3 linked regions of the Drosophila melanogaster genome follow. The protein of the gene in region 3 purifies or fractionates together with the protein of the main gene of each other region. This does not show direct contact. Each region holds a gene or a part of one and is shown on either strand. Other genes may lie near its edges.

Region 1 (4,825 bases), on a different chromosome or scaffold from region 3:
AATCCCGTCGACTTTGTGATTCGTCGTCCGCGCAATTGTGCTTTGCTCAATGTAAGTTGAAGGTTCAGTTCATTTTGTGGTAGTTAACAAATGATTCCGTTGATCTACAGACGTATAAGCCCACACATAAGTTGGCCAACAATCATTTTCATCGGTACACTGATGTTAAGCCAAGGGAGGAGCGGCGGGCCACAGTCATTGATCTGGCCAATCAGCCAAATGTGCAGGGCAAAATCAATGGATGGAAAATTTATCATTTACGCTCGCAAATGGAGGACTTGGTAAGCAATGGGCACGAAAGTATTGGTAGGCTACTTTGACTGAACTGATTTCTTACAGAATGAATCGGAAGTCTTTAGTCTGGGCAGGCTGGAGACCATGCTGCAGGATCTCGAAAAGGACAAGGAGAAGCACAGCGAAATTGAGCGAGTCACTGAACTGCTAAAGGTGCGCTCTTATACTTATATCCATTATGCTTGAATCTCAACATAAAACCAATTTACTTTGCAGGGAAACATTCAACGCAGCAAGATTATTACCGATGGCATCAACGAGGCACAGAATCAGTTAATGAAGATCTTCGAGCATAAGCCACACGTTTCTAATATAATCACCCGCTGCGCTTCGAAAAGGAATTTCAAGAAGCGCGAAAAGATCTAAAAGTAATTGACGAACGGAGATGGCCAGCCAAGTGTGTATTAATAAGTTGTACATTACCTAATTTAAGCAGAAATTATAGAATCCAAGATAATTACCTTAAACGCGATCGATTTGTAAGTCGTACAGCTACAAAGAAAACCAGCAATATTTTTTCAATTTATTAAGCTAGAAACACAAATACAAAAACCCTCGAGTTGTATTAAGTAGAAAATTGTTTATTATTTGAATATTTCTGTGGTAATCGGCTTGCGTTTGGAGAAATCCCGTAAACATTGTCGATGAATTAGTTGTTTGAAAGCATGGGTGGCGGTGGATGAACGCCATTGAACATGGGATGCATAGCAGGACGTGGCGGTCCCGGCATGGGGAATCCGCCTGGGGGGCCTAGTGCCCTATGTAGATTCGGCGGCGGTGGCGGCAGGATCTTAGGTTCGAACTTGAAGGCGAACTGAAGGAAGAACTGCTTGGTGTCACGGTTCCAGTGCGTCCAGAACTTGCCCTCACTCTTCTCCACTTCGCGGGACGGCACCTTGAACCCTATGGTCTCGTACGGCTCGGCGGCAAAGAGAAGGTACTGCCACTTGCGGTCTGGCGGCTCGATCTTTTGCTCGTAGGCGGACATGAAGCGGTGACGCGGAACAATGGACTCCGTGATTTCCGGGTAGTCCACCTGAAAGAGCAACGACTGCTGGCCGTTGCTGAGTTCACGCTGCTTGGTCACCCGGTAGCCGGGTCGTCCAATCTTGACGAACTTCTTCGGTTCCACGCGGGGCTTCTCGGGCGCCAGCAGCGAAGAGGGTGCCTCCTTTGCCTCCTTGGCGGCTCTTCTTGCCAGATTATCCTGATGCTTCTTGCCCTGCGTGTGGGCCAAATAGCTGCCCTCGTTGTTGTGCAGCGTCAGGCAGAGTTTGCACTCGTAGGAGCCCAGATGGTTCTTCATGAAGTACGGATCCTTGTTCAGATCGATTGTCTCCAGGGCCAGTTGACGCAGTCGCTCCTTGCGGTCGCGGTTCGTCTCCGACCAGGAGGCTACGCCTCCGCTGCCGGTCTTGCCGCCGGCGCGGTTTTGGAAGTCCATTTTGTAAACTTTATTTTAGTTTTCAACCGCACGAAGGAAAAACGTTTTGCGTTGGTAAAATTTCATGAAAATTTGTTGTACAGAACAGGGTTGTCAAGAAACGCCAATTCGGTTAGGGGTGGTAGTTTATCAGAGTCAATCGATAGTTCGTGTGCAGGATTAAAGTATTAAATAAATAATAGAATGTTTCATAAATCCATTAAAATTCTTAATGATAGTCAAATTTTTGCAAACTGTAATATACATAAAATAACTTATATATTCCTTTTGCGATGTTTTTTTAAAGAATTACATATAATATTTTGGTATATTTTCGTTCCGAAGCTTTGAGAATATTTTACTTTTTCAAAGCGGTCACACTATTAATTCGAGCTGCACATGCTTGATCTTTTTTAGAATTTAAAAAGTGAAAAATGTCTAGACAGCGATCTAAACTAAAGTAAACTAGTGTTGGTGACAAGTACTAGGCCTCGAAAAGCGTGTTTTATTTAAATGTCACTGCGTGGATTACGTCGGACTTGAGAAAAATCGAAGCAACGAGTGTTTAAGAATTTCGATTTCTGTCGTCATTTTCGTGGAATAAACAGTGCCAGTGTCTTATGCGATTTTTAAAGTAACCGCGAAATGGACAACTCCAGCAAACAGGTCATCATGGGTCCACCGGCGCCAATGACCACCACTTCTAATCAACCGAAGCCCGGTAATCCCACCAGCGCCCCTCCTCCACACGCCACCAAAACTGCTGCAGCTCCGCCCAAGCGAATAATTAAGAAGATTCAGCTGGATTTCAACAAGCTCAAGGAGGCTGGACTCGATAGGCAGCTGGCCGAGGTGCTTAGGAAGCAGAAGCTGGATGCCAAGAGGGTGGACGCCCCATCGTCCACCAGTCTTTCCACCTCTGCCGCAGCGCAGTCGACGCCAACTGCGCCAGAGAGCAAATTGCAGTCGCCACAACAACAATTGCGTCAGCCTGGTAATGCATACTTGTATATATATATATTTGCTTTAAGCTGTGCATCGCCCAAAAAACCGTTACAAACCCAGGGGTTTTGTACCAAGTGATACGAAAATCGTCTAAATGCTTCTACGAGTTTTGGGCACAGTACCGAAAACCAAAACGATGGTGCAACTGATTGAGACGCCGACAGATTGTCAAAGAGTTAGTTTTTGTATTAATTGTTCTGAGTTCGTCTCGCAGTGAGTGCGGCGCCTTCACTTTCTTTTCGTGTATCTCGATATATTTTATTTTTTACGTATTTCGAATGGCAACCTAAAATAATTTTTTTTAGTTTAAAAAAGTCTATTTTTGTTAAAAATTCAGGTCTATAGGTTAGAAATATTAGGATGGCTAACCATCTGTATCTGTATCTGAACATCTACAATATGTTCACTTGTCAAACAGGACGTTATTATTTCCAAAACATACTGCCAATAAAATTTATATTGAATAACATAATTTGGTATTTAATTATTTAAAACGATCGATATTTTAATAAGCCAAGAGAATCACATGTTTTACAAGGATATTTTATGTATATTTTAATATTCTTTTAATAAATAAATTTAAAAAACCAAAAAAAAATTAATTCGGGACATTTAGATTAGTTGGTACTTTTCTTTGAAATGAGATGAAATATACTGCTAATACTAGAACACTTCAATATTTTTGTCGTTGTTGTTAAATGTAACACAAAAAGTTTTTAACGAAAACTTTTTTTTAAATTTTAACAATTGAATAATGAGTTTAATCAATAATCATTTAATTTTTGTTGTTGTGTGATAGAGTACTAACTACGTAAAGCCATAAATTATGAAAATTTAATTGGTCAAAAGCAAATAAAATTTTACACTTAATTGTAAAATAGGGATAATGAGCTTAATTCATAAATATGATACCCTTGAAAGGGTAAATATTTTTTTTGACTACTCGTCTGGCAAACTAGATTCAAGACCCACTCGTGCCACAACAATTCGTACTCTTTCGGTGGTTCAATCGTCAAGTGCGCGCTCAAAATGAGGTTAGGGACGAAGCGTCGATGCGAGGCAACATAATTCCCTTTTTGGCCCGGGTTCAAATCCCATTGCGGTCAAACTGCCGTTTGTGTGTGCGATTGTTTTTGCTAATACATGCTCTATATGGTTTTATTTAATGTTTGCTTTAACAATGAATTGCATCTTTTATGTATAAGATGGCTTATTTCGCTTTAAAACTGTGCTCCTTTAACTTTGCTCCTAAGTTCTTCTGCTTATAGTTTCCTTTATTAATTATGTTTCACTTTTATAATTTTTAGCACCTCAGCCTCTAGTAAAGCGTTTTATGATCTCGGAACACATCGAGAAGATAGTGCCCATCCAGCCGACTCCAAATCCAACGGATGGTGACCGTTCCAAACAAGTGAAGGCGCTATTAAAGAACAGAATACTAAACAAGAGCTTAATCACGAACACGCAGGCTCAGCAGAAGCCCACAACTTCCAAAGCAGCGCCTAAGATGCCACCACCTGTTTGCCACGAAACAGCTCCTCGCAGTGGCGGGATTTCCCCAGCTCCGGCAGCCTCTTCCATGTCCATTGCCAAGGCGGACTTGACTGTCCGACAAAAGCAGCCGCCACTTTTGCTCAATTTGGTAAATCAGCTGCCCAAACATCGAGCCATGTGCGTATCGAGTGACAGTCCCTTAGTGAACCCGCACGGGACAGTGCATCAAGTTTCCCCAAGTCCACAGAGGATTCCAGTACAGCAAACTACGAATGTTTTTAGCCAACCATATCCACCTCCAGAGGTTCCTATAGCTCGAGCAGCTCCTACGGTTCCCACACAACTTCATAGGAGTCCAACACCGCCGCTAATTGTGCTGGAGCATAAGGTGTTGGCACCCAACGAGAAAATCGATTTGAGTGGGCTTCGGCTGCCCAATGCTCCGGTGGAAGCTACAAATTCTCCGGATAGCGCTGCAACACCAAATATCCAATCTAAAGTGATCAAGGGCAAGGTTATTATGAACGCCAATAAGTTTAAGGTTTCACGGGAAAAACTGGCCGAGATGGCCAAAGAGATTCGTAATCAGGCGGATCAGGTGAAACAACC
Region 2 (4,753 bases), on a different chromosome or scaffold from region 3:
AATTTAAAGTTGACCCAGCCGGGTTTCGTGTTTCCACTTCAAGTTTAATTAATATGTTAAGCCCGTAAAAGCCGCTTCGGTAAACTAACCCCACCAGCCGGTTGTTGCTCCGGTGTTTGTTTTTTGTTCGGCCCATTCCCGAAAAGGAAATCAACCCCCCCCCCTCTCCCACCGAGAGCTTAGGCAAACAAAAGGTTTGCGAATCGCATTCCATGGAAGATGAGGCGTCTCCAACGATATGAAGGACTTACATGTGTAGCTGGAACTCGGTTTGCATACCAATTGTCTGACGCTACTTTCGACCATTGTACTTGCGTTTCATTAGTGTTAATCCGCAAAATCGGTAGGACTACGGCTGCCATATCCAGATATGTGCAGATACATATACACAGCCTTGTATATGGCGGCAGCTGTGGTTTCATGCATTGTTCTAATGCGTGCTTAAAGCGCATTTCCAGCACGCATGAGTGCCCACAGTTGCGGTCACATGAATAGTGGTCGGCTCCTAACCATCGATTTGCGCGACAGCTTGTTAGTTCAGAAACTATTAAAAGTCGCTTAACTCAGGCAAATTCTGCACAATTGATCTACATATGTGTGTCAAGCACACGTAGGCGACCTCCACTGTGGATTTGCATGCGAATGCAGCTCCCAAATTCACGAACAAAGCACAAAGCACCACTCGACAAATGCGCTGTAATTCGAGGCGACAAGTATGCAGCGAAAATTTTAAATGCATTTCACGCACTGCGGCTGACGCACCGCTCCCCCAGCCCCACACCCCCTCCCACCACTGGTATTTTCCCAGTGGTTCTCCATTCCTGTCACGCCCGCAAGTGTCGCCAAGCGACGGCTGCCGCTGCCAGCCAGGACCCACTGTTGCACACAGGACGAACAGATCAGAGCCAAGCCAACATATCCGCTTCTCATCGATATTTAAATAGCGCATAATCAAGGTGATGATAACACTATCAGCAAATGGTTATAACACACTGATGTTCTTAAACTAAGAAAACAACAATGTACGTTTAGAAGCCTAAAAGGATAAGTGTTTCTTTCAGTGCAGATGGCGTTGACTTGATTGGAATTTGACCAGAATTTCGCCCACTGGCAAAATGGAGCATCAATTAGAGCCAAGTGATTTATCCAATTTGTAGCAGGAGAAACCCTTGACAGGACGACACGAGACTTTCTGATTAGTAAAATAAAACTCGAATAACTTTTTAGCAATCTGACGTCAAAGGATCAGACACGAACGCTCGGAATTGAATATCCAAAAGTTTCTTCTTTCCTCGAGATACAGCTGAACTTTGCTCAAGAACTGATTGCTTTATGTTATATGGAAACTCAGAGGAATAACTTTCTCAAAGGGTTTCTAGGTAAGTGATATGAGTTTATTAAGAAGAAGTATTTTTTCAGAACTTAACATTTTCACTAATTAAAGAGAAGACTTTCGGGGAAAGCATATTCTCTCTTTTGAGCAGGACAAGCGCAAACAGTGTGAGAAATGCATAGTTATTTGGATTGGTATAATTCAGAATTCAGAATTCAGAAAAGTATGCAAAACTTTGTCTCAGAATTTAGGCTCATTTGCATACCAGTCGCACCACAAAAAGTCAACATCTCCAAGTTTTTCACACCATGTGCACGAGAATAAGAATATTAAAATCGCATCTTGCTTGAGGTGTTCGCTTTATAAAGCCATTACCAACTATCCGAAGGACGAAGGCGGGTGGATCCTGGGCGGTGGTTCCTGAACAGTCCGCATGTGTCGGCCGGCATTTTAACACTTTAATCATTGAAATGCAAATTCGGAGCCGAGTTTTAGCAAGACATGCGGCAGAGTGGCACATGCATGTTAACACGGCCACCGACTGGCACGCCTCCTGATTCTGCTTCTGTTCCTGGAGGGGACAGCTCAGGATTCTGGCCGGGATTTAGCATATCTGAGATCCGGGCCACACAAAGAGAAAATGTGTATCGAAACGGAGAAGATGCTAGTGGGTTTTTCAAATCTCACTTAATGGTGCCTGAAAGTATGCACCAAGTTTTGAAAAACATGTATGTCCCATGGGTAACAATGTTTTCCGGGTAACAATTTCGAACTTTCCACCTTTTCATTTTTGTGGCATTTATGGGTCGTTATAAGATTGATGTCGAAATGATTTTTCCTGTGCAGGGGAGAGCACATTTCGAATTCTGCCTACTCCACAGCTGAGTTCCTTTTCGGACCCGGAAAATAATGGAAATGCCGGACCCGGCGAGCGAATAAATTAACCTGGATCGCATTTATATTCGAAAGTAGTGGCTCGGTGATGCTTAAACCTGAGTTTGCCGCAGAATGCTTCCTTTATTGCACGTAAATAAAGTCATAAAGTCATCATTACAACCGCGCCAACGAGGAGCACACGATAAGGAGCACAAAGGACAAACTTTTGTGACTGCGATAAAAATTCGCAAATGCGCACAAATTACTCAAAACATATTAAAAACTGCGTCCCCGCCTCAACAATTTGCCCAAAACGTTGCACAAATTAAAAACCCTCTCGAAAGAGCGGAGATAAAAGGAAATTCCATTGTGGCAAGTTTTCCCGATGTGGCAAACTGCAGTGAAAGCACAACTTTCGGGGAAACTGAAAAGTGCAGTTATTGAGTGTTAGTTGCAAGTTCCTTCGCCGATGCGACATGTGAAAAGTTGTGTAATTCAGTTCGAGAAATACACTCTGAATGTGGCGTAAAAAATGAGTTCAATGTTATATTGAGTGTTTTCGAAGTAATGCCAACTTACCAGATTTGATGCTTGAATTTAACCAATTAGCCAATAACCGTTGTTTAAAATAATTTATACAATATATATGTTATCATAATTGAAAGCAGCTCGAATACCCTATACCTACAATCATGTCATATAGGGGTTGGTATTCACAACCTATCTGTAAATGGTCACATATGTTTTCGGTCGCCAAGTTTTGCTTGTAATTATTATTTTGCCAGAATTGTGTTAAAAGTATGAATAATATTGAAGAGGACACCGAAGCAGCCTTCAAACGGCTCCAGGCTGTCATTCCACAGGTGAAGCAGGCCTACGAGGAAGCCATTGGACAGATCTTCTCGGATTTAAAGTAGGAGAATGGCTGATTAAAAGATTGACCAAACGCTTACTATTGCTTAGCTCCTCAGATCTTGAGTCGTGTGCCTCCATCCTCGAGGAGCACGAATCCACGAGCCTGGACACCGAGCAAATAATCCACAGCACCCGTCGGCTTATGACCAAGATCGTCCTGGATGTGAACCAGTGCTTCTTCTCCGGCAACGACGTGGAGACCAAGCTGACCACGCTGGAAATGCTTAAGGAGCAGTTTGCCGCCCACGAGGGCAAGAACTGGTTAGTGAATGGTTTTGAATTTGGTTGTCCAGCAGCACTTTCCATGGTTTTTAACGTAAATCCGCAGGAACTTCAACTGTCTGTCCCCTGAGGAACTTACTCGCCCTCTGCGCATGCACAACTTGAATCTAAGCATCACATTCATGGAGCAACAGCTTAAGAAACAGGAAAAGGAACTCGAGGTATGTATTTCAACCTCCGAAGAATTAAGTAATACTTGGATTACTTCGATTTTAGATTGCTATGGCCAAAAGCATTAAAAATCGACAGCTTATACATGATGTCCACGCTGAACGGGTGAAAGTGGGATGTATGATGAAGCAGCAGTTGGCCGAGTACCAGGCCATTAAGCCACAGTTAATGGAAATGGAACGGCTAATAAATGATTCGTATGTGCAGGAAGAAATGTAATTTTATAAAAAAAAACAGATTATTATTATTATTATTATTATTATTATTATTATTATATTAGTTGCTGGGTCTTGAAATAAATATGAATTTCAAACTTACCGCCACAAGTGGCATTGAATTCGAGCGGCGCTTTCCAACACTTCGATGCGTGTGCACAGCTGACTTGCCGGCAAATGAAAAACATTGAATAATATTCCGAAAGCATGCTGAACTTGTCCGTGGTGCTCCGGGTGCAATCATCGCGCCATGTGGCTTCATATGCCACAGCGGCGGCGGCGGCAGTTAAGACGAAGCCACCAAAGGCAAAGTCCAAGGGCAAAAAGCAGAAGGGGGAGCCCCTAATCTCCTGCAGAAGAAGCCAGTTCGATTTAACCCAATACGAGCAGACGGATGCCAAGTTTGGGAGTCTTTCGCTGGCCTCCAAGGGCTGGCTGCACAACAAATCCAAGGGAGACTTCTTCATCCTGAACGCCAGCGTGCGAGGTGAGGAACTCCAGCAGGAAATGCAGACCGTCGATGAGTTCCTCGAGAGCACGGGGATGCAGATTCATCCGCAACTCCTTGAGAACTTGCGAGTCGAGCTGGGCATCAAATTACTGACGGGAATCCAAAAACAGGGAATGCCCGTTGTCCATGGAAATGAGCACTGCCTCATTGCCGCTGAAACTGGGTGTGGAAAAACAATTACATATCTCCTGCCTATCGTAGACAAACTCCTCCAGAAAGAAGTGGTCACCGAACGAAAACTCAACACCCCCCGTGTCTTGATCCTCACTCCCGGCAGAGAACTAGCCACGCAGATTGCTGGGGTCACGGAGAAGCTCACCCAGGGCACCAATCTCAAAGTGCAATCTTTACTTGGCGGCAATACCAAGCAGCTTATGATGAACCCACAGTTCGAGGAGGTGGACATACTGGTCGCCACTCTGGGTGCACTTAGCAAACTGGTGACCACTG
Region 3 (5,141 bases):
GTAGCCACGATAGGTCGCTCTAACTTTCGCCGGACAATAGCAATTGAGCAGCGCCAATCTATATGGATCGCTGTTTATTCATAGATCGGTTAGTCGGTGGCACTCTGAGTCGCTTGTGACTTTCGAGATTTCTCGATTAACACCGGCCGCCATGTCAAAAGCTCTCAGATAATCATACAAATCTTAAAGAAAGGTGTTTAATAAAACAGGTCTTGTTCTGATATAGTTATAAGGAAATTACCCAAACATTTGAAATATATATAAAACCTTATAGTAATAGAGAACTCATTAAACCAAATTTATGATATAATTATCACTAAAGTTGTAAATTTGGTTAAATATGATAAGAAGACTTTTGATTTAAAATAAATTCAATAACTGGTTTTTAATTTGAATAAGTTTGAATTGGAACTACTTAAACTGGAGCCTTTCGCGATATCTCTTCTTTGGCGATATCTCTAAAAATTTTTAAGCTTCCAGTGAAGATGATATATCAGAAAAAAGAAAAAAAAAAAAATTTTGGGAGATATATGTATAATTTACACTGCACTTAAACAATTACAAGCAGTACTTAAATGGCTAAAAAACTGCTATAATAAGATGCTTAATTCGTTAAGATGAATTCCCAATTGAGCTTTTATTGGAAGCCAACTATTTATAATGCTAAAATAAAGTGCTCCATTGGAAAAGGGTCTTCCCCCTAATCCAAGTAAATCAGTTAATCGGAAGTCAGGTGTGGCTCATCGGCGATGTGAGATCAATCTCGATTATAGACTTGCAATTGTCTGCTTCCTTGGGCGGAGTAGTGGGAGCACGTGACTCCATAGCCATGTCCATGGCCAGCGAGATAAGCTGCTGCCACTGCGCCACGTCCACATTTAGACTCTCGAGATGCTGACACAGTGAGTCCAGTCCTTCCACATCGGTCGCCTTCAGATCAAAGGGTATCAACTGGTCGCGTTTATCGCCACGGAGTACAGTGACACCCTTCACACGTGCCGGCAGCGCTTCTTGATTTATATAGGTTCTTGTTGTCTTCGACAGCGTGTGAATGCTATAAAATAAAACAAATAAACACACATTGCTCTCATTATAGTATACTAAGTTTAAAACTGACCGCATTAAAATCGGATTTGTTTGAAAAATAAGAGCGCATGTGAGGCTATGCAAATAAATTATGTATGTAAGCTAAATAAGTTATTTGGAACACGACCTCAACTATATCTATTATTTGCAGTTTATAGACTTTGATGATGCTCCTAATAGATTTAGTTAAAGTAAATAAAGTATTTGATTAGTCTCTCACTGCAACTTGTACGCATGTAAAGACCATAAATGTTGACAATACATTATTGTCATATACATATATTTGTACCAATAGTAGTTTTGGATGGACTAAAAATCAATATGAATAGTCATTTTTATGTATAATAAGGACAAGATCGAACCCATTGGAGCCCGGAAAATATTAGCTAGCCATTCGTGCTAAGAAAATCTTAATATGATTATCTTTGACCTAATCCCTGACCTTTCCATGATTTCGTTTTTGCGCTGTTTGGCCAGCATTTTCTGCTGTTTAAACCAATCTTTCATGGCCAAATTGTGAAGTTTGGTGGCCTCCAGTTCTCGATCAAGTTCCTCTATGAAGGAAACTCGCTTGTCCAACTCCTCCCGCCGCTCCATGAGCACTTTTTGCAACTTTCCCACTTTCCGCTGATGGCGCGAAGCTGCTTCCTTGACATCCACTAAAATATTTAGTGAAATATATCAATTGAAATGGAGATATATGGAGATAAATTCCAACTCACACAAATTGCTGTTGAATTTAAAGACCTTTTTGATGAATTTCGCCTCGAGGGCTTCCATGTGAATTTGTTTTTCGTACAAAGCCTTTACGCGCCTTTCGTAACTCGATTCAGTCATAATAATTGCCATTTTAAACTCAATTTACTGCAATCAATTAAAATCTTTAAAAACTAAGCGCCGTTTTCCAGACGCTTGTTTTGCTTTCCAGTTAGTGGTGGTACTTCTCATTAGGGATGACACTTCCACGACACCAGCAGGGTGGCCAGGCTGAAAGAAAAAAGTGGTTCTGCACTTATCGATAGCTGACATCGACTTATCGTCGTGCAAGTCACATCTCTATTAGCCGGCAAGCAAAAAATTGCAAGTCAAATTGGCAGCAAAATAAAATAAAAATAAAACGTCGGCACTTTTGGCAAATTTTTGTGCAATTTCTGAAGCAGGCACTTCATGCGTTTGCTGCTCTGCGTCCAGGCAATACGCAACCATCTCGCTCGCACCTACAGCAGCGCCCGCTTCAAAAAGGTGAGCGAATAAAAAGGCAGAAAATGTGCAAAAAACGCTTTGCAAACGAAGAAATCGCGAACAAAGAGTCTAAAAATAGAGAATATAGAATTTGCATAATATTTCTACATATCGAGTGTCCAGTCAAATCCAATTGAAAATGGGTAAATTAGATGTTTATCCACTTTTCGGTTTCGAATGCTGCGAGTCGGTCAACGACCCACTTGTTGTTCTTGTTGCACCGAATTCAAGGTCATGTGGCATTTGCGATTTTAAGAAACTTAAATCGCTTTATGCACAATGATATCGTGCTTATAAAACCCATGCGAGTTTATGGAGCATCGTAAAGATATGTGCTGAACGATATCTTTTCGGTAGTTTATGTTTTTATTGCCTTGCGACTGTAAAGCTGGAAAATTGATGGCTTTAAGTTGAAAATGTTAACTACTTAGTTAAGTTATTGTACCAAAATATATTAAAATTAATAATTTGTAAAAAAAAACGTTATTTGATTTTATAAGATTTTCTAATATTCGCTAAAACTCAGAAAATGTTATGTAAATTATTAGAATTCATATTGCTACTACAATTTATCTTAATTTGTTCATTATAAATGCAATACAATTTATATTTATGTATATTAGGTGATTATTATAGTTAAAATATTTTAGAGGTAATTTTTTTCTTTTGAAGCTTCATTTTATGAACCCAATGCTTTTTAGTTGTAAACATAATTATTGATTGATTGTTTTTTATTAGAATTTTAGTTATAAAATTATACTGCAGTATTTTTCACAATGGAGCTACTTTAATTGAGCCATTCTAATATGGGTCAGCTATTCTTAAACTTCCCCTACAGCGTTGCATCCGCTTGCAACCGATGAGTAACGCCCCTGTGTTTGTCCAGATGGCCCTACCCATAACCCAAATGCCACTGCTTATCTCGCCGGTTTTGGCTCTCGTGATTTATGGATGGCTGCATCCATTGACCGCCCCTGTGGTGCAAAGTCGTCGACTGATAAGCAAGTGGGGCACTTGGAGCGCTAAACACCAGATTAGCACCGATAAGATAATACCGGCGGCTTATCACTGGGATTTGGCTAGCCATTCCATTCTTTACTCATTCGCACACACATTCTCTTACAGATGGCCACGGACGTAAAGTTTAACGAGTCGCTAGGCTGCAGTGATCCGCAGACACATCCGGTCCTGATCATCGGCCAGCTGCGCCATCTAAACCTACTGAAGTTCAGTCATCTGGAGAGCAAACTCAGTCCGCGCGTCACCGAGGAGACCTTCCTGAATGCCGTCGCTTGTCTGCATCCCGCGCCCACCGATAAGGTATCCCTCTATCTCGATGTGGCCACCGTGGCTGCCCTGCCATTGAAGGCATCCCGACACAATACGGCATCCCGGGCTCATGCCATCACTCGTCTGGTAAAGAACCATGTGCTGAACGTTTCCGAGGAGAGCGTGGTGCTCGTCTGCGAACGAGAGAATCTATTCGCCAGCGCCTGTGCGGTGGTTCGCGCTTTTCCACTCTATTCCCGCAAAACGGGCAATCTGCTGGCCTCAAGTCAGCCAAAGCTAAATCTTGGATGTGGAGATGGAAACGCAAATTCAGGACGCAACGTAGTCAATGTTGAGTTTGTGCTAATCAACAAGGATGGCTGCATTGAGAGCGAGCCTTTGACAGACGACGAGCTAAATTGCCTGAATGAGACCACACGGGCAATTCGAATGACTGCTCGCATTGTAGATATGCCCTGCAACGAAATGAACGTGGACCACTTCATCCAGGAAGTTGAGGATGTGGGCAGGGAGCTGTGCATTACGCCAAAAGTAATCCGTGGCGAGGAGCTGCTGGAGCAAGGATTTGGCGGCATTTACGGCGTGGGCAAAGCTGCGGCTGTGCCGCCTGCCCTCGTTGTGCTCTCCCATGAGCCAAAGGGCGCCCAGGAGACTATCGCTCTGGTCGGCAAGGGCATCGTCTACGACACCGGTGGCCTCAGCATCAAGGCCAAGACCGGCATGCCCGGCATGAAGCGCGATTGCGGCGGAGCGGCGGCGATTCTCGGAACCTTTTACGCGGCTGTCCAGTGTGGATTTAGGGATAACTTGCATGCCGTCTTCTGCTTGGCGGAGAACTCTGTCGGACCAAATGCCACTCGGTGGGTTTTGCCCTTAGTTTAGCATTCAATGGATCAGTTAAATACTAATGCGTTTACTTTGCAGCCCCGATGACATTCACACCCTTTACTCGGGCCGCACAGTGGAGATCAATAACACGGATGCCGAGGGTCGCTTGGTGCTCGCCGATGGCGTTTGCTACGCCAACAAGGATCTGAAGGCCAACATTATTCTCGACATGGCCACATTGACTGGAGCACAGGTAAGGCATTCTATAAAGCTAGCATAGCGCCCTGTTTTGATAAAAATGTGCCCAACACGTGATTTTTGTTTATTATATCAATTAAATTTGTTCTAGCGTGGGAATGTTTGATTATTGTTTACAATTAGATCGCACTTAGGATTTAGGTCAAGCATATATAGAATTGGGTTTGAATTATATTTGGTTTCCCTATTCATCGAAAGTCAGACTACAACAATGAACTCATTCAATTACCACATTTACAGCACAATGTAATAGATTTCATTGAATAATGTAGAGAGTGATATTTACTGAAACTATCAGCTTCATGGACTGATTTGTACCCGCTAGGCTACAATTATTTGCCAAGTTGGCAAGTTGGCCTTTCTGTCACTTTTAATCGCATTAAAGGCAACAATTCACTGGGATTGAATTCACATTTTTGCCACTAATGCAGGCAGCA

Evidence for each region.
Region 1: the proteins of Spc25 (region 3) and Sf3a2 purify together in Drosophila melanogaster (affinity purification with western blotting, with the first as the bait; one study listed by BioGRID). This does not show direct contact.
Region 2: the proteins of Spc25 (region 3) and Nnf1b purify together in Drosophila melanogaster (affinity purification with mass spectrometry, with the first as the bait; 2 studies listed by BioGRID). This does not show direct contact.

The regions. Positions count from the first base shown.
Region 1 is NT_037436.4:12,812,170-12,816,994, forward strand, and holds Sf3a2 (splicing factor 3a subunit 2), read right to left. Parts: upstream 1,851-4,825; 5' UTR 1,739-1,850; coding exon 944-1,738; 3' UTR 859-943; downstream 1-858. Other genes in the region: Sap130 (Sin3A-associated protein 130), read left to right, coding at 1-51, 111-281, 340-447, 511-660; CG42588 (uncharacterized protein), read left to right, coding at 2,363-2,711, 4,030-4,825.
Region 2 is NT_033779.5:807,637-812,389, forward strand, and holds Nnf1b (Nnf1b), read left to right. Parts: upstream 1-2,940; 5' UTR 2,941-3,009; coding exon 3,010-3,122; intron 3,123-3,172; coding exon 3,173-3,385; intron 3,386-3,452; coding exon 3,453-3,567; intron 3,568-3,622; coding exon 3,623-3,796; 3' UTR 3,797-3,895; downstream 3,896-4,753. Other genes in the region: Dbp21E2 (DEAD box protein 21E2), read left to right, coding at 4,000-4,753.
Region 3 is NT_033777.3:12,958,630-12,963,770, reverse strand, and holds Spc25 (Spc25), read right to left. Parts: upstream 2,027-5,141; 5' UTR 1,936-2,026; coding exon 1,809-1,935; intron 1,746-1,808; coding exon 1,529-1,745; intron 1,055-1,528; coding exon 730-1,054; 3' UTR 522-729; downstream 1-521. Other genes in the region: grsm (granny smith), read left to right, coding at 3,454-4,478, 4,543-4,699. UniProt on the Drosophila melanogaster protein: Acts as a component of the essential kinetochore-associated Ndc80 complex, which is required for chromosome segregation and spindle checkpoint activity during meiosis and mitosis.